Linked DNA regions of Caenorhabditis elegans. The protein of the gene in region 1 purifies or fractionates together with the protein of each later gene. This does not show direct contact. Each region holds a gene or a part of one and is shown in the gene's direction. Other genes may lie near its edges.

Evidence for each region. Proteins that work in one complex are often made in the same cells at the same time.
Region 2: the proteins of C10C5.4 (region 1) and pyr-1 fractionate together in Caenorhabditis elegans (co-fractionation; one large-scale study listed by BioGRID). This does not show direct contact.
Region 3: the proteins of C10C5.4 (region 1) and Y73E7A.8 fractionate together in Caenorhabditis elegans (co-fractionation; one large-scale study listed by BioGRID). This does not show direct contact.

The regions. Positions count from the first base shown.
Region 1 is NC_003282.8:9,375,972-9,381,052, forward strand, and holds C10C5.4 (N-acyl-aliphatic-L-amino acid amidohydrolase), read left to right. Parts: upstream 1-2,580; 5' UTR 2,581-2,690; coding exon 2,691-2,769; intron 2,770-2,908; coding exon 2,909-2,973; intron 2,974-3,024; coding exon 3,025-3,525; intron 3,526-3,588; coding exon 3,589-3,745; intron 3,746-3,793; coding exon 3,794-3,900; intron 3,901-3,948; coding exon 3,949-4,028; intron 4,029-4,075; coding exon 4,076-4,136; intron 4,137-4,190; coding exon 4,191-4,287; intron 4,288-4,331; coding exon 4,332-4,378; 3' UTR 4,379-4,481; downstream 4,482-5,081. Other genes in the region: C10C5.3 (N-acyl-aliphatic-L-amino acid amidohydrolase), read left to right, coding at 18-97, 145-205, 253-349, 399-451.
Region 2 is NC_003280.10:8,648,957-8,654,466, forward strand, and holds the start of pyr-1 (Glutamine-dependent carbamoyl-phosphate synthase), read left to right. Parts: upstream 1-2,152; 5' UTR 2,153-2,177; coding exon 2,178-2,262; intron 2,263-2,308; coding exon 2,309-2,640; intron 2,641-2,705; coding exon 2,706-3,106; intron 3,107-3,225; coding exon 3,226-3,516; intron 3,517-3,560; coding exon 3,561-3,942; intron 3,943-3,993; coding exon 3,994-4,524; intron 4,525-4,580; coding exon 4,581-5,206; intron 5,207-5,274; coding exon 5,275-5,510.
Region 3 is NC_003279.8:1,632,706-1,637,926, forward strand, and holds the start of Y73E7A.8 (Mucin-5AC), read left to right. Parts: upstream 1-1,863; 5' UTR 1,864-2,108; coding exon 2,109-2,154; intron 2,155-4,572; coding exon 4,573-4,695; intron 4,696-5,221. Other genes in the region: Y73E7A.1 (Coiled-coil domain-containing protein), read left to right, coding at 516-659.

The DNA.
Region 1 (5,081 bases):
AATAATTGTTATCCCAGCATTCCGACTTGAAACTAGTGACTCCACATACACGAGATGATCCATTTTGGGTTGCATTTGAAGATAGTTTGAAACAAGAGTGAGCTATTTGTTGCAAGGAGTTTATTTTTAGATTTATACATTCAGAAAATGCAAGTTTACAACTGAAGTACTCATTGGATCTACCGATTCCCGCATCGTTAGAGAGGTATTAAAAAATAACATAGTTTCCATTTCATTGTAACTGAAATTCAGGCTGGAGTTCGAGCAATCAATTTTTCTCCATTGATAAACACTCCTCTTCTAGCACATGCACATAACGAATTTTTAAATGAAAAGGTTTTTCTGAGAGGTAATAACTAGATGGATCTAATTTTTCATATTGACTATGATGCTTCCAGGTATTGAAATCTACCAAACGCTGATCAACAACGTGGCCAATGTCAACGAATGAGCGTCTTCTTCATCACAATACTCGCATTTTCTTTTTTTTAAGCTTGTATGAATAAATGTGTGAAAAAGTTAAAGCTGAAATGTCACTTCTTTTGGTAGAAACTAAAGAATTTCCCGCATCCAATAAGTTTCAGAAAATTTGATCGTCTCAAAAATCGCATCCGTGGAAGTCGGAAAACCCGTGTGAATTCTCTCACTGGATCAATTTTTAAAAATAAAATATATCTTATCTATGAGACTCTTTTTTTGGTTTTGGTAAGTAAATCTTATAATCTTATCATTCGTCTGGGAACGGAAGCAGACAAGAAAAAAGAGATACAAAGAAAAAAAAAAAAAGTTTTGAGATCAAGGTCAACTATCATGACCGATCATAGACGTGACTTTGACAATACTTGGAACACACTTTTTTTAGAAGCTAGAAAAATAGATTTGATAAAAGTACATTGAAAAATGTATGAAAAAAAACGATAAAGATAACAAACAGCTCCTGATTTTATATTGACAAAACTATGAGTATTATTTCAGAATATTACATGTTGGTAAAGAAGTCCTTCCAGATCGTTCATAGTTGAAAAATAAATTGAGACAAACAAAATAATAAGTAGTTGAGTTAGATTCTGGGGCTCTAGTTTCCGGCATAGAGAAATCATAATGAGCTCTATAAAATTGAAAGGTTTTATACTTTTTCAAAAATTAAATATATTTATAGTTTTTGGATCTTTCGTTGGTGCTTGTATTAGTCAGTTACGATCAGTAATTCTTCTGGTGATTTGTTACGATAGAATATTCGTTGGTATCGAAATTGAAGTAAACAATTTTCAAATTAATTTGTCCTGTATCAATTTGTTCCAGAATCAGCTTTTATCATCTTTTTCTATGAGATCTAGAAAAAAACAACCCAATGGAAAAATGTGTATTTTTCCTTAAAACACTTGAAGATGAGAATGTTTACCATAAGTGTTTTTTAGTCTAGACATTGAATGATCGTAATTGAGAAAATTATTGGATCTTGTCATCTTCAAATCATCATTTTTCATATATTTTATGGGAAATCGCAGTTGACAAAAGAATCAGATGATAAGAGACACACAAATGGTTCGTTGAACAGAACACATTTATGTCAGGTTTGATCAAAACGGTGACCAGGGAATCAATTCGTGAGAAACAGTAAATGAGACGAAACATTGAACAAATTGAACTTTTTAAAAGGCCAAAAAAAAGAGAAACAAGAAACCAGGCAATATGCATTTTTTAAACATAATTAAACTACATGGTGCAAATTTGATAAAACCAAGACGATGACAGTCTGGTGTCAACTTGAAGCAATCAGTGCAAATTATTCAATTAAAAAACGTTAGTAGCTGATGTAAACATTCTTATATAAATCTGGGCAAAATTTTGAACAAACAACATCGTCAGAGCTTTCAAGCTTTTAGTGAAATTATATTAACGAGAAAATAAGATAGTATAAGCTTAAAAGTAACACTTTGTGCACCTTTGTGCGGCCCTTAAATGATGGGCAAGTCTATTAAGGTCCCATTATAAAAAATTTTGAAAACATTTTTAAATTGTTCAAAATTACTAAATCTCTGAAAAACTTTATCTTCAATTATCAGTAAAGAAATCAGTAAAAACAGTTAATTTTCGAAGTTTCATACATTCGGATGTATTATCGTAGCTGATCATATTTGATATCGAGATGAGACAAACGACCAACTGTCTAGAACGTTTTTAGAACCATATGATTGTTTGATCTTCTGATTAAACGTGACTTGATTTTCATTTAATCACGATGAAGAGCATTATAAATTGATTAATAGTTCGCAGGAACGAATTTTTTGATATGTGTTTTTAATTGAGAACGTTAAGATATCTAATGATATATAGACCCCTAAACTTTCCGGTCAGACAATTTGGAATTCTTGTAGTTTCTTATCAGCTTGTACTTCCAATCAATCACTTCCTGGTACCACAATTCTTTTCAAAACTTTTTCTACTGTATTGGTTCTCATGTCAAACTGATGACTGGACTATGTTGTACTTAGAAACCAGGTATTGTGTTCTTTCTTTTTATTGTCCACCTTCTGTCACATTGAATTGATAAGATATAATTATAAAAAAACGGTTGCCAACTCTTTTTTCGATCAAATTTGTATAAAAGGAGGAGCGCTCGGAAAATTCAATTCATTTGTGTTTATCATTTTCTTGTGCACTTTTCCAAAACGAGAAGCTATTGAAAAATGAGCGAGGAGCACATTGCAGTCACTCGATTCCGAGAATACCTTCGGGTTAATACAGAACAGCCGAATCCAGATTACGGTAGGTAAACCTTTAAATTGAGAAAGATTGGGAGCTAGATTTTTATACCATACCAATATTTAATTGACATGAAAGTTAGGTTAGAAAGTGGTGATACATAGAGAATGTACATGTAGTTTCCTTGATTCATAAATTTCAGTGGCCTGTCGTGACTTTTTGTTCAAATATGCGGATGAAGTTGGAATTGAAAGGAAAGCTGTTGAGGTATTCAATGTTAAATTTTATTAAATAATGAGAAAACTTTCAAATTTCCAGACAGCTCCAGGAGTTTATTTCGTAATAATGACGATCCCAGGATCTCAACCAGAATTACCTTCAATTATGTTATATTCTCATACTGATGTAGTTCCAACATTCCGTGAGCATTGGACTCATGATCCATATTCTGCATTCAAAGATGAAGATGGAAACATTTTTGCTCGCGGAGCACAAGATACAAAATGTCTTGGTGTACAACACGTTGAGGCATTCAGGAATTTATTTGCAAAAGGGGCAAAACAATGGAAAAGGACAATTCATGTGGTGTGGGGTCCAGATGAGGAAACAGGGCATATAAATGGAATGAAGGGATTTGTGGAGACGAATGAGTTCAAGAAGCTTAACATTGGGTTTTCACTTGATGAAGGTCATGCATCTGAAAATGGCGTATATTTGACTTTTTATGCTGAAAGAGTAACCTGGTGGCTTAAAGTAACAGCTCCCGGAAATCCAGGTCATGGATCTCAGTTTATGGAAAACACCGCAATGGAGAAGATTGTAAGTTAAATTAATCTTTTCTGTCAAAAAATTTACATTACATGTTTTACAATTTTTTTCCAGGAACGTTTCCTTGCAAGTGCAAGAGCATTCCGAAACGAGCAAAAAGAATTGTTAGAGAAAAATCCTACCTGGGCTCTTGGAGATGTTACGACTTTGAACGTGAATATTTTGAAGGGTGGAGTTCAATTCAATGTGATTCCCGAAAAGTTTGAAGCTTGTAAGTTTATCTGAAAGTGAACCATATATGTAAGAGCTCAATTTTCAGATGTTGATATCAGATTGACACCAAATCAAGATTTTGGTGAAATTCGTGCAAAATTGGATCAATGGGTGAAAGATGCAGGAGAAGGTGTCACTTATGAATTTTCTCAGGTTAGATCTAATGATCACGAATGGCTTTTAAAATAGCTGTATTTTCAGCATTCCGACTACAAACCAGTGTCTCCACATACTCGAGACGATCCATTTTGGGCTGCATTTGAAGATAGTTTGAAACAAGAGTTAGTGTCCCCATTCAATAATTTTGATTAATAAATTTATATTTCAGGAATTGTGAATTCACCACTGAAGTATGTGTAGGATCAACTGATTCCAGATTCGTAAGAAAGGTGATTTGGCCTGAGAAATTTCATATAAATTCGGCTCATGTTGAAACATTTTAGGCTGGAGTTCCTGCTATCAATTTCTCTCCAATGATCAACACACCTGTCCGAGCACATGCCCATAACGAGTTTTTGAATGAAAAAGTATTTTTAAGAGGTAATAATTTGTTTTCTCAATCGAAATACAATATTCTTTTTCAGGAGTTGAAATCTTCGAGACACTCATCAACAATCTGGGAAATGTTTGATATATTTGGAATTAAATAAGTAATCCATAATAAATCTATTCCGTAAATATATTGCACATACGTTTTCCTCCATTCGAATTTAATAAAAGTTCATTGGTTTTTTCTTTGAGTTCCAACAATTGAAAAAATTGGAGTGAAATAAACAACTTCAAAGTAGATTTCCCTAATAACAAGGATTATAAATTAATAATAGATGAGACATGAAAAGTATATTCGAAATTTAAAAAAAATGGAAAATTAGTGTTACAGCGTAACATGGTCTAGCATTCCCGACTTACCAATTGAAAATTGTTTATGCGGAAACACGGTTATTTACAAACGAATAAACAATTATCACACATTGAAAATAATCCTTTTTATGATATTTTAGATAGTTCAGAAATAAAATCGATAGTTTCAGTCGAAATTATTTTATTTTCAAAAATATATTGTAGTTGCTGAAATATCGAAAAACTTGCAGTGCAGCAATATTGTTATAAATATTTGTATTCTTGTTTCCAATTTAATAACACCATTTCGCAAAATCCAGGCAATTCCGGAATCAATAAATGTTCTCAACTAGAACAAGACGGAGTTTTTTTTCGACATTATAATTTAAACTTTACAGTCATAGAATGATTCCATAGTTTTGTTCCAACTATGCAAGAGTACCGGCAGAGCAGTAGTAACTCCACTTTGTTCAAACTGCGACTTTGTTCGGTTT
Region 2 (5,510 bases), on another chromosome or scaffold:
CTCTACGATTTCAGAGTACGCGCCAAACAATTATTCTCAAGTTTTTGCAAAAAATGGATGTAGATCACTGTTTAATATGTGAAAAATTAAGAGAATTATAAAAAGCGAGGGAAACAGTATGTGATCTTCGCGTGATCTACTCGAGTTTTTCACAAAAACTTTGGGTATTATCTCGATGCGCGCCCACTAGTTATTTATAAATGCGCTCTCTTCGAAGTCGTATTAGAAGAAAATGAAATGCATAACGTTATTTTTCGAGATAGTTTTTAGTTCACTCAATAATATTTTTCTTTCCACTTTTTGCTCGTTTGGCTCTCAATTGTTCAATATACAGACTCAACGTCCAAGTTTCCTTTTTAAATTTATCAGAGTTTGATAGTGGTACTATTACTAGTGATAAAAGTAAGCAAACATTTACAGTTGACCAATTGCAAATTCCCAGAGCAAAATGTGTTCTCTGTCTTTTTTCAATCATTTGCCCTTTACACTCCGGTATCGGTCACTCCTTTCATCTGGTCTATCACTTGTGGTATTTCTCTCCTGTTTTGATGTACTATGTTATATTGATAAAATTCAAAGAAAAGAACGAAAATAATTAAATGAAGTTCAAAAAAATTGACGCAAAAACGAAAAAGCCACGATATGGGAGAAGCCAATTTTTCATATTTATTTCTCGCATAAAAACAACATTATTTCTCCATTTGGACCGTTTCAAATGACACCTGTAGGTGTAATTTTAGGTGTAGGTGTAGCCACGTAACCAAGAAATATGGGTATGTTTTTTCGTAACTTCGTCGTGTTCCAATTGTCTTGAATCTCTTTTAAAGAACATTCTCATTTGTTCCATCATGTTGCAAAACAACAGGTGTTCAGAAAAGCTCTCCCAGTTTGACCTTTGGCCAAAATTGCGGAAAATTTACAAGCGTATTTTCTACAGTCGTCTCACACTAACACTCATGTAACCACTCTTAATTTTCGAGTCTCAAACAGCGAGGAAGTATTTTGTGATCTTCTAGGGTGGATCTACTTCAAATCGATAAATATTATGTGTGTGACATTTTAGAGTTCTATGTACGCTCTTTTATTTTCAATTTGTTTGGGGTTTCTTTGAGCTGACCGCTTCTTTCTTTTTGTCACTAAAAGCTTTTATAATATTGCATTCATTTCATTTCACTCGTGAGCGTTTAGCCCGCCCTCTATTAACAGTATAAAGGGAGAACAAGAGGCCCCTGGCTTCACACTCTGGTTAATCGAATTTGATTGAAAACTTGACCAAAAGCGAGATTTTACTATCCCCTACCTCTGTTGTAAAAAGAAATTTACATTCCATTTTTTTCATAAAAAAATAAGCTTCTCCCATAAACAAACTAAAAGTACAAATGCTCACTCCTAGGGTGACATGTGTTCTTTGTCTTTTTTTCAATCATTTTCCCTTTGCACTCTGGCGCCCAGTCGTCCCTCTACTATCGGTCACTCCATCCCTCCCACCTCTCTTATCATCTTTTTTTCGTCGCTTTTCGTCAAAAAACTTGATCGTTTAGTTCGGCATTTTGCAACCGTGGTCACTCTTATCCATTGTTAAGTTGCTCTTTCAAATAATACTGTCATAGGTGGCTGACATGTTCCAAAACTCTATTTTAATTCAAATCAATACATGTGCTCATCGACGATGGTCTTGGGGGCGGAGCTTCCTCAAATCGATAAACCCTACATTCCAGCGTTCTGCGGTCTTTCAAAGAACGTTCTAGGTCATTCTGCAAAAACACACATCCACAATGTTTATCTCGTTTCTATCTCAGTGGGCAGGAACACCAAATTCAAAAATAGTGTCTTGTTAGTAAACACCCTTACTCTCCTCCATCACATGTTTTTCTCTTTGTCCATTTCTCTCTGGTATTTCTCGAATTCTCTGCTTCTCTGCGCATATAACTGCGCGTTTGCTCGTTTTGACATGAAAATACTTACTATCTTATCCACTGGTTTTCCTATACAAGCTAGACAATAATATTTCTTATCAACTAGTTGTATGTATCTGTACAAAAGGGCAATATGGTTGAACTGTAGACTCCGATTTTCACTACTTTTCTCTTTTTTTTTTAGTTTCCATAAAACCTTTCGATTTTTAAACTCGACTAAAGAAATGTTCTTCCAGTTTGGTTCGAATGCATTGGGAAAGTATGAGAGCGACTTTGCATCTCGAGGACGGGTCCACTTTTGTGGGCTCCATTTATGGAGCAACCAAAAGTGTAGTTGGAGAAATTGGTAAGTTTTCATCAAGTTTTTATTAAAATTTTATTTGAATTTTCAGTTTTTCAAACCGGAATGGTTGGTTATGTGGAATCTCTTACCGATCCATCATACGCCAAGCAGCTTCTCACACTTACATATCCACTTATTGGAAATTACGGAGTTCCATCTGCAGAGATTCTGGATCAGTTCAAGCTACCAGCTGAATTTGAGTCTGACAGGATCTGGCCAGCAGCTCTCATTGTTGAGAAAATTTGTGTCGATGGAGAACACAGTCATTGGCAAGCAGTTCAGTCGTTATCAGAATGGCTCAGAAAAGCTGATGTTCCATGTCTTTCCGGAATTGATGTTCGCCAATTGGTGAAGAAAATCAGAGAGACTGGAACAATGAAGGTTAGTGATACTGTAGTTGGGTTAAAGCATTTTTTAAAAATATTTTTCCAACATCATGTTTTCAGGCGAAGCTTGTGATCGAATCAGACAATGCACAAAACTTCGACTACGTTGACGTCAATGCTGAAAATTTGGTTGACTTCGTGTCGAGAAAAGAGCCAGTTGTCTATGGATCCGGTGATCAAACCATTCTCGCAGTTGATTGTGGTCTCAAGAATAATCAAATTAGATGTCTCGCAAAACGAGGATTTCGTGTCAAAGTGGTTCCTTGGAATCATCCAATTGATACTGAAAGTGATTATGATGGACTTTTCCTTTCCAACGGACCAGGAGATCCAGAAATTTGTGCACCACTGGTCGATCGATTAGCCAAAGTTATTGCAAGAGGAGACAAACCAATTTTTGGAATTTGTCTCGGACACCAAATTTTGTCTAGAGCTATCGGAGCGAAAACCTACAAATTGAAGTAAGTTTTACCAATTGATTTGAAGATATTTCAATTATCATAACAAAAACCACTAAAAACACATGCATCAATTAGTTTGAAGATTAATTTTTTCTTTTTAATTACAACATTTTTTTCAGATACGGTAACCGTGGTCACAATCAGCCATGCACTCATTATGCTACTGGCCGTTGCTACATCACTTCTCAAAATCATGGATACGCAGTTGATCCAGATTCACTTCCAGCTGATTGGAAGGCACTTTTCACGAATGAGAATGACAAGACCAACGAAGGAATTGTGCACTCGTCTAAACCATTTTTCAGTGTTCAATTCCATCCAGAACACACTGCCGGGCCAACTGATTGCGAGTTTTTGTTCGATGTTTTTGCTGATTCTGTGAGACAAGCAAAGAGTGGCACATTCATGAAGTTAGTTTAAAAATATGTTAACTTTATTAAAAGTTTATTTTCAGTGTCGATCAAGAGCTCACTCGTCTTATGACTTTCACTCCCATCTATCATGCCAAAGAACAGAGAAAAGTTCTCGTTCTCGGATCAGGCGGTCTCACTATTGGTCAAGCTGGAGAGTTTGATTATTCTGGGGCTCAAGCTCTGAAGGCATTGAGAGAAGAAGGAATTCGAACAGTTCTCATCAACCCAAACATTGCTACAGTTCAAACCTCCAAAGGCTTTGCTGATTTCACTTACTTCCTTCCAATCACTAAAGAATACGTTACCGATGTGATCAAGAAGGAGCGACCAACTGGAATCTTGTGTACCTTTGGAGGTCAAACTGCTCTCAACTGCGCCATCGACTTGTATAAAGATGGAATTTTTGAGCAATACGATGTGCAGGTAAATACGAAACTACTTGATTAAGGAAACTAAAAGTTATATATTTTTCAGGTTCTTGGAACTCAAATCAACACAATTATGAAAACAGAAGATCGCGATTTGTTCAATCAAGAAATTTCGGCTATTGGAGAAAAGGTTGCACCAAGTAAAGCAGCGACGACCATGGAAGGTGCCATTGAAGCAGCTGAAGAGTTGGGTTATCCAGTTCTTGTCAGAGCCGCATATGCTCTTGGTGGACTTGGATCAGGATTCGCTGACAACCGGGAAGAGCTCATTGCAATTGCTCAACAAGCTTTAGCACACTCAAATCAGGTTCTTGTTGATAAGAGTTTGAAAGGATGGAAGGAAGTGGAATATGAAGTTGTTCGGGACGCTTACGATAATTGTATTACCGTTTGCAACATGGAAAATGTGGATCCACTTGGAATTCATACTGGTGAAAGTGTTGTTGTTGCACCATCTCAAACTCTTTCTGACAGAGAATACAATGCTCTTAGAACATGTGCAATCAAAGTTATTCGGCACTTGGGAATTATTGGAGAGTGTAATATTCAATACGCTCTGGATCCGTATTCCTTGACTGTAAGTTTGCAAAAGCTTTGAGTTAGAGAATTGTATTAAATTTGTATTATTTTCAGTATTACATTATCGAAGTCAATGCACGACTTTCTCGTTCTTCTGCTCTTGCCTCAAAAGCCACCGGATACCCATTGGCATATGTTGCTGCAAAGTTGGCATTGGGACAACATCTGCCAGTCATCCGAAATAGTGTCACTGGAACCACAACTGCATGCTTTGAGCCAAGTTTGGACTATTGTGTTGTGAAGATTCCTCGTTGGGATCTTGGAAAATTCGCTCGTGTCAGCACACAAATTGGAAGCTCTATGAAATCAGTTGGAGAAGTCATGGGAATCGGGAGATGCTTTGAAGAGGCTCTTCAGAAGGCGTTGAGAATGGTGTCCGATCATGCTGACGGTTTCTCTCCATACACATTCAGTCGTCCTACAACAGCTGATGATCTTTCAAAGCCTACAGATAAGAGAATGTTTGCATTGGCACGTGGAATGTATTATGGAGACTTTGATGTTGAAAAAGCTCACGAGCTGACACGTATTGATCGTTGGTTCTTGTTCAGAATGCAGAACATCGTTGATATTTACCATCGCCTCGAAAAGACTGACGTCAATACAGTATCTGCTGAACTGCTCCTGGAGGCGAAACAAGCAGGATTCTCCGACAGACAAATAGCAAAGAAAATCGGAAGGTAAATACTCTTACCCTTCTCTGCTTTGATTTTTAGCTCGATATCTAAACAGTAAATTAAAATTTCAGCAACGAATACACAGTTCGCGAAGCTCGTTTCGTCAAAGGAATCACTCCTTGCGTGAAGCAAATTGACACAGTTGCTGGAGAATGGCCTGCTCAGACAAACTACCTCTACACAACATTCAATGGAATAGAGAATGATGTTTCATTCAATATGAAGAACGCTGTGATGGTTCTCGGATCAGGAGTATACCGAATCGGTTCTTCAGTTGAATTTGATTCTTCTTGCGTTGGATGCATCA
Region 3 (5,221 bases), on another chromosome or scaffold:
GAGTGCCTCATTTCGGCTTGATCTACGTTGATCTACAAAGAATGCGGGCGAAGAGACGCAGAGTTCTCAACTGATTTCGCATGGTTAAGAACGTGCTGACGTCACATATTTTTGGGCAAAAAATTCCCGCATTTTTTGTAGATCAAACCGTAATGGGACAACATTTTTCGAATTTTTTTCAGAATTTTAGATTTTCACGCGATTTTTGATCTACTAAATGTTAATTATTAAAAATAATTTTCTATGCAATTTTCAGCGATTTTTTTTTCAAAATTTTTGAAAATTAAACTCAATAGACTTTTCATTAAAATTTATTATTACAATTTTCTATTTCTAAAAAAAATATTTTTGTTCAATTTTAAAATAATTTTTGAAAAAAAACATCGAAAATTCCGAAATTCGAGAATTTTCTGCGGTTTTCTGCGATTTTTCCATTTTTTTCTAAATTAAGAGTAAAAAAAACATAAAATTTCAGTAAATTTCCCCAAAAATCCCTTAAATTCCCCATTTTCCAGGCCTTCGAAGAAGCTCGGCTCCCCGAGCTAAAACTGAATCATCCAACGTTCCGCCTGTCGCAATTGAAGCAAATTCTCAAGAAAGAATGGCAAAAATCGCCGGAAAATCCGCTCAACGCTCGTCTTCTGGCTCTCAACTCCTAAATACATATGGACCATAATTTCCTATTTGCCCCTCGGTTTCGGTTTCTCGTCAATTTTTTTTCTTGGAATTTTATGGGTTTCTGTGTAGTTTTCCTGTTGTGAAAATGCATAAATAAATATATATAGAATGTTTGAAATATAGCATTTTTAGCAAGCATTTTAGTTCTGGAGCAGGGGTGGGCGGCAAATTGAGTTGTCGACAAATTCGGCAAATTGCCGGTTTGCCGATTTGCCGGAAATTTTCAATTCCGGCAATTTGTCGATTTGCCGATTTGCCGGAAATTTTCATTTTCGGCAAATTGCCGATTTGCCGGAAAATTTCAATTCCGGCAGTTTGTCGATTTACCGGAAATTTTCAATCGATCTTACAGGAAACAGTGAACGCTTACGAACTCATTTCGTGTCTCATTTCGGTTTGATCTACGTAGATCTACAAAAAAAGCGGGAGTTCTCAACTGATTTCGTATGGTTAAGAACGTTCTGGCGTCACATTTTTTGGGCAATATATTCCCGCATTTTTTGTAGATCAAACCGTAATGGGACAACCTGACACCACGTGAATATTCAGAATGTTTATTTTTTCTAATATTATAGAAAAAACACGATCGCACAAAAATAAACAACGACCCAACCAACGACACTCCGCTGTTTTAAGCCTCGCGGCCGACGCATTTCTGTGCAAATGAAATCGTGGGCGGGCCTTTAAAATAGCGGAGTGTCGTTGAAAAAAAAACAAAATTGGAAAAAAAATTTCGCGCTGAAATATTTACAAAAAATTTTGGCGCTAATTTCAAATCTACCGAGAGAATTTGCACAAAATTCAAATTTGTATTTTTAAGACGAATTTTAAAATAAAAAAAAAATTTGGCGCAAAAATATTTTCACGCGGTTCTAGCTTCCCTCATAAACTGAAATGGAATAGTTCGCCGAACTAGGCCATTTTGGCTCGGCCATTTCTGGGGTAGATTTACGGCGCGTTGCGTGTCGCGTTGCGTATCGCGTCGCGGCTCGATTTTAGTTGTAAAACTAAATGTATTTGTCCGTGTGGAGTACACGACTTTCCCCGTCCGGCGGGCGATTGTCAATGGAGCGCGAAAAATTCGATGAGAAAGGCCAGAACTACGAATTGTTTTCCGAGTAAGATAGTAAAAGTGTGATGATCACACTAACCCCACGGACAACAAAAAAAACTTCCCCGCGCTTCCTTATCCCCTCTCTCTCTCTTCCCTTATCTCCATCAATTAAAACAGTTGCATATGATGGCTGCTGCTGGCTGCTGCTTTCCGAAAACCTTTCACCTTCTTCCGAAGCTTTGACCTGGATTCAGTCTGATAACTGACCGATATTCTTGATTCTCCTCCCAACAAACGAAAGAAATAAGGAGAAGAATTGAAAGTTTCGGCCGCCCGTGAGAAACTAATTGATTTCTCGTTTTCGATAAATAAAAAAATGTTACGGCTCCGTTTACTCCTATTACTCATTATTCCCTTTTTAGGTAAGTAGGAAATTTTAAATTTTAAATTTTGAACAGATTTTAAGTTTTTTACTAATTTTCTTTACTAATTTTCAAACTCTTATTGGCTAAAATTATTGATAATAACACCTTTATTTTAAAATGTATTTCATACTTTATCAGTAAATATTATTATGTAACACCTTTATTAAGGGAACACAAACTTTTGAGAATGCGTATTGCACAACATATTTGACGCGCAAAATATCTAAACTACAGTAACCCTTTAAATGACTACTGTAGGTCGATTTACGGGCTCGAAATTTCTATTAAAATGGTGACAGCGATATTCAATGTTCTTCCTATTTTTTTTCTCCCAATAATGCATCGATTAATAAATTACCTCCGTAAATCGACACTACAGTAGTCATTTAAAGGGTTACTGTAGTTTAGATATTTTGCGCGTCAAATATGTTGTGCAATACGCATTCTCAGAATTTTGTGTTCCCGTAATAAGCTAACGTTTTTTTGACGATTTTGAATATCATACATAGTTATGCATGAATAAACAAATACTTTTTAAATTTTTATTTCAAAATCTCTTGCATAGTTGTAATTAAATTAAATAATATAACTAATAGTAGGTATAACAAAATTTCGATAATTTTGCATTTTTTCGTTGTGTTAATTTCTAGTTTCTTATACAAAAATTATTAAGAAAGTTTTTACAAACTGGTACATAGTTTTGCGTTTTTTAAATAATAATATAACTAATAGCAAGTATTTTAAAAATTTCCGGCAAATTGGAAAACCGGCAAATTGCCGGAATTGAAAATTTCTGGCAAATTGGAAAACCGGCAAATTGCCGGAACTGAAAATTTCCGGCAAATCGTAAAACCGGCAAATTACCAGAATTGAAAACTTCCGGCAAATCTGTAAAACGGCAAATCGCCAGAACTGAAAATTTCCGGCAAATTGCCCGAATTGAAAATTTCCAACAAATCGGTAAAACGGTAAATTGCCGGAATTGAAAATTTTCGAAAAATTGGAAAACCGGCAAATTGCCAGAATTTAAAATTTCCGGCAAATCGGCAAATAGGTAATTTAAAAACTTTGGATATTTTTGAATATTTTTTTAATTTCTAAATGATCATTTTCAAACTAATAATAACTTCCTTTAACGTGTAAAAATTAGAATTTCGAACTTTATAACTAAATAATATAATGTTCAGTAATCATTACTTTAATAGACTTTGGAAAATTTACGACGATTTAAAATTTAAGGTCAAAACCGACCCGCCATATGTCTGCCGCCGTAACTTTTTTAGTGTAGTTTTTGTGTGATAATACTTTACTGGTATTATGAAAAATATCATGACCAACATTTTGTTAGTTGACGGTTTTCGAAAATAATTTCTAGTTTTTGAGTTATGGTTAATTGAACACAGTCCAAAATTCAAGAAAAACCGTTTGTGCATACCTTTGTATGTATATATGCGTATATATTTATATATATATAATTTCAAAACTTTTTCTACCTCAATTTTAATTCTTCTCTTATTATATCTATAAAGCTGGAAAAATGCATTTGGATTAAAAAAAAAAAATTGAAAATTTTATTCAATTTTACAATCTACCACAAATGTTTCATTAAAATATGCACTCCAGCATGTTTTTCCGATAAACCATAAACTTCAAATCTATGTTCGACCATCTCTACATTATTTTTTTATTGCTTGATGAGTAGATAATATCACTTTCCATTATATCCGCAAAAGGGCTAAACGGTATTTACCGAGGGGAAATTAAGGACAATTGATTCATGATGATGATGATAGAAGTGAAATTAGATCGGAATTCAATTCACTTTATGCGATGGTTTTATTTTAAAAAAATTTGAAGTAGAAATTAAGAGATTATTTAACAAGTTTATTAATTTCCTTTCTTAATTTTTGAATGTAGTTTTTAGTCAAGGAGTATGTAGTTTGTATTGAGTCTTAACTAGACTCTAGTTTGCTTCTGATTTTTTGTGGGATTTGCCGATTTGCCGATTTGCCGGATATCAGATTTGCCGAAAATGTTTAGAGCGATTTTTTTATAAGACGGAAACACTTAAAACTGTGTTTTTTTGAAAGTCTGTTCCTGTTTTCCTTAATATTTTCATAGAATTTGCTTAATTAAAATAAATGTGGGAACATTAAATTTTCCGATTTGCCAGAAATTTTCAATTCGGACAATTTGCCATTTTGCCGATTTGCCGGAAGTTTTCAATTTGGGCAGTTTGCCGGAAATTTTCAATTCCGGCAATTTGCCGGAAAGTTTCAATTCCGGCAATTCGCCGATTTGCAAAGTAACTTAAAAGTTTAAAAAAATTGCGATTAACATTTTTCAAGATTTACAAAAATTTTAATGTGCTAACCAATATATTCTCAAAAAAAAATTTTTTTCGGGATTTTTCAGAATGCCAACTACACGATTTGGAGGTGACAACTCCACCGTCTTGGGCACCTACTGGAAGGTTGAATCAGTTTAATGGATTTGCAACTCCAAGACCTTCTCTATTACCTGCTAATGCACAAATGGGTAAGTTGTGTCTTTCAATAAAAAACAATTATTAGTCCTCAAAGCTTCGGAAACTTTCCAGAACTTTCTAGAAAATTTTTTTACTCAAAAAATTTCAATTCCTGCCGAACAAATTTCTCAGAGAATTTGAATTTTCCGCCAAAAAATTGTTCTCAAATAATTTGAAGTCCCGCCAAAACTTATGGGTCTCGCCACGATGGGTCACTAACCCCAAAAAAGAAAAAACTAAAGTTTTCCTAAACTACAGTAACCCTATGTATACTTACAGTACCCCTATATTACTACAACAGTACCTTGACATTAACCCCCACCAACAAACAACCCAATATCTCTTCAAAATTTAAAGTAATCCTACGGTATTCCTACAGTACCCCTACAGTACTACTGCAGTACCCAGACCATATCCCACCACTAACCACAAAGCAATATTACTTCAAAAAACAAAAAGTCAATTTTTCCTGAACTACAGTCATCCTACCGCGTTTCTACAATACCCCCTACAGTACTACTACAGTACCCCGACCAT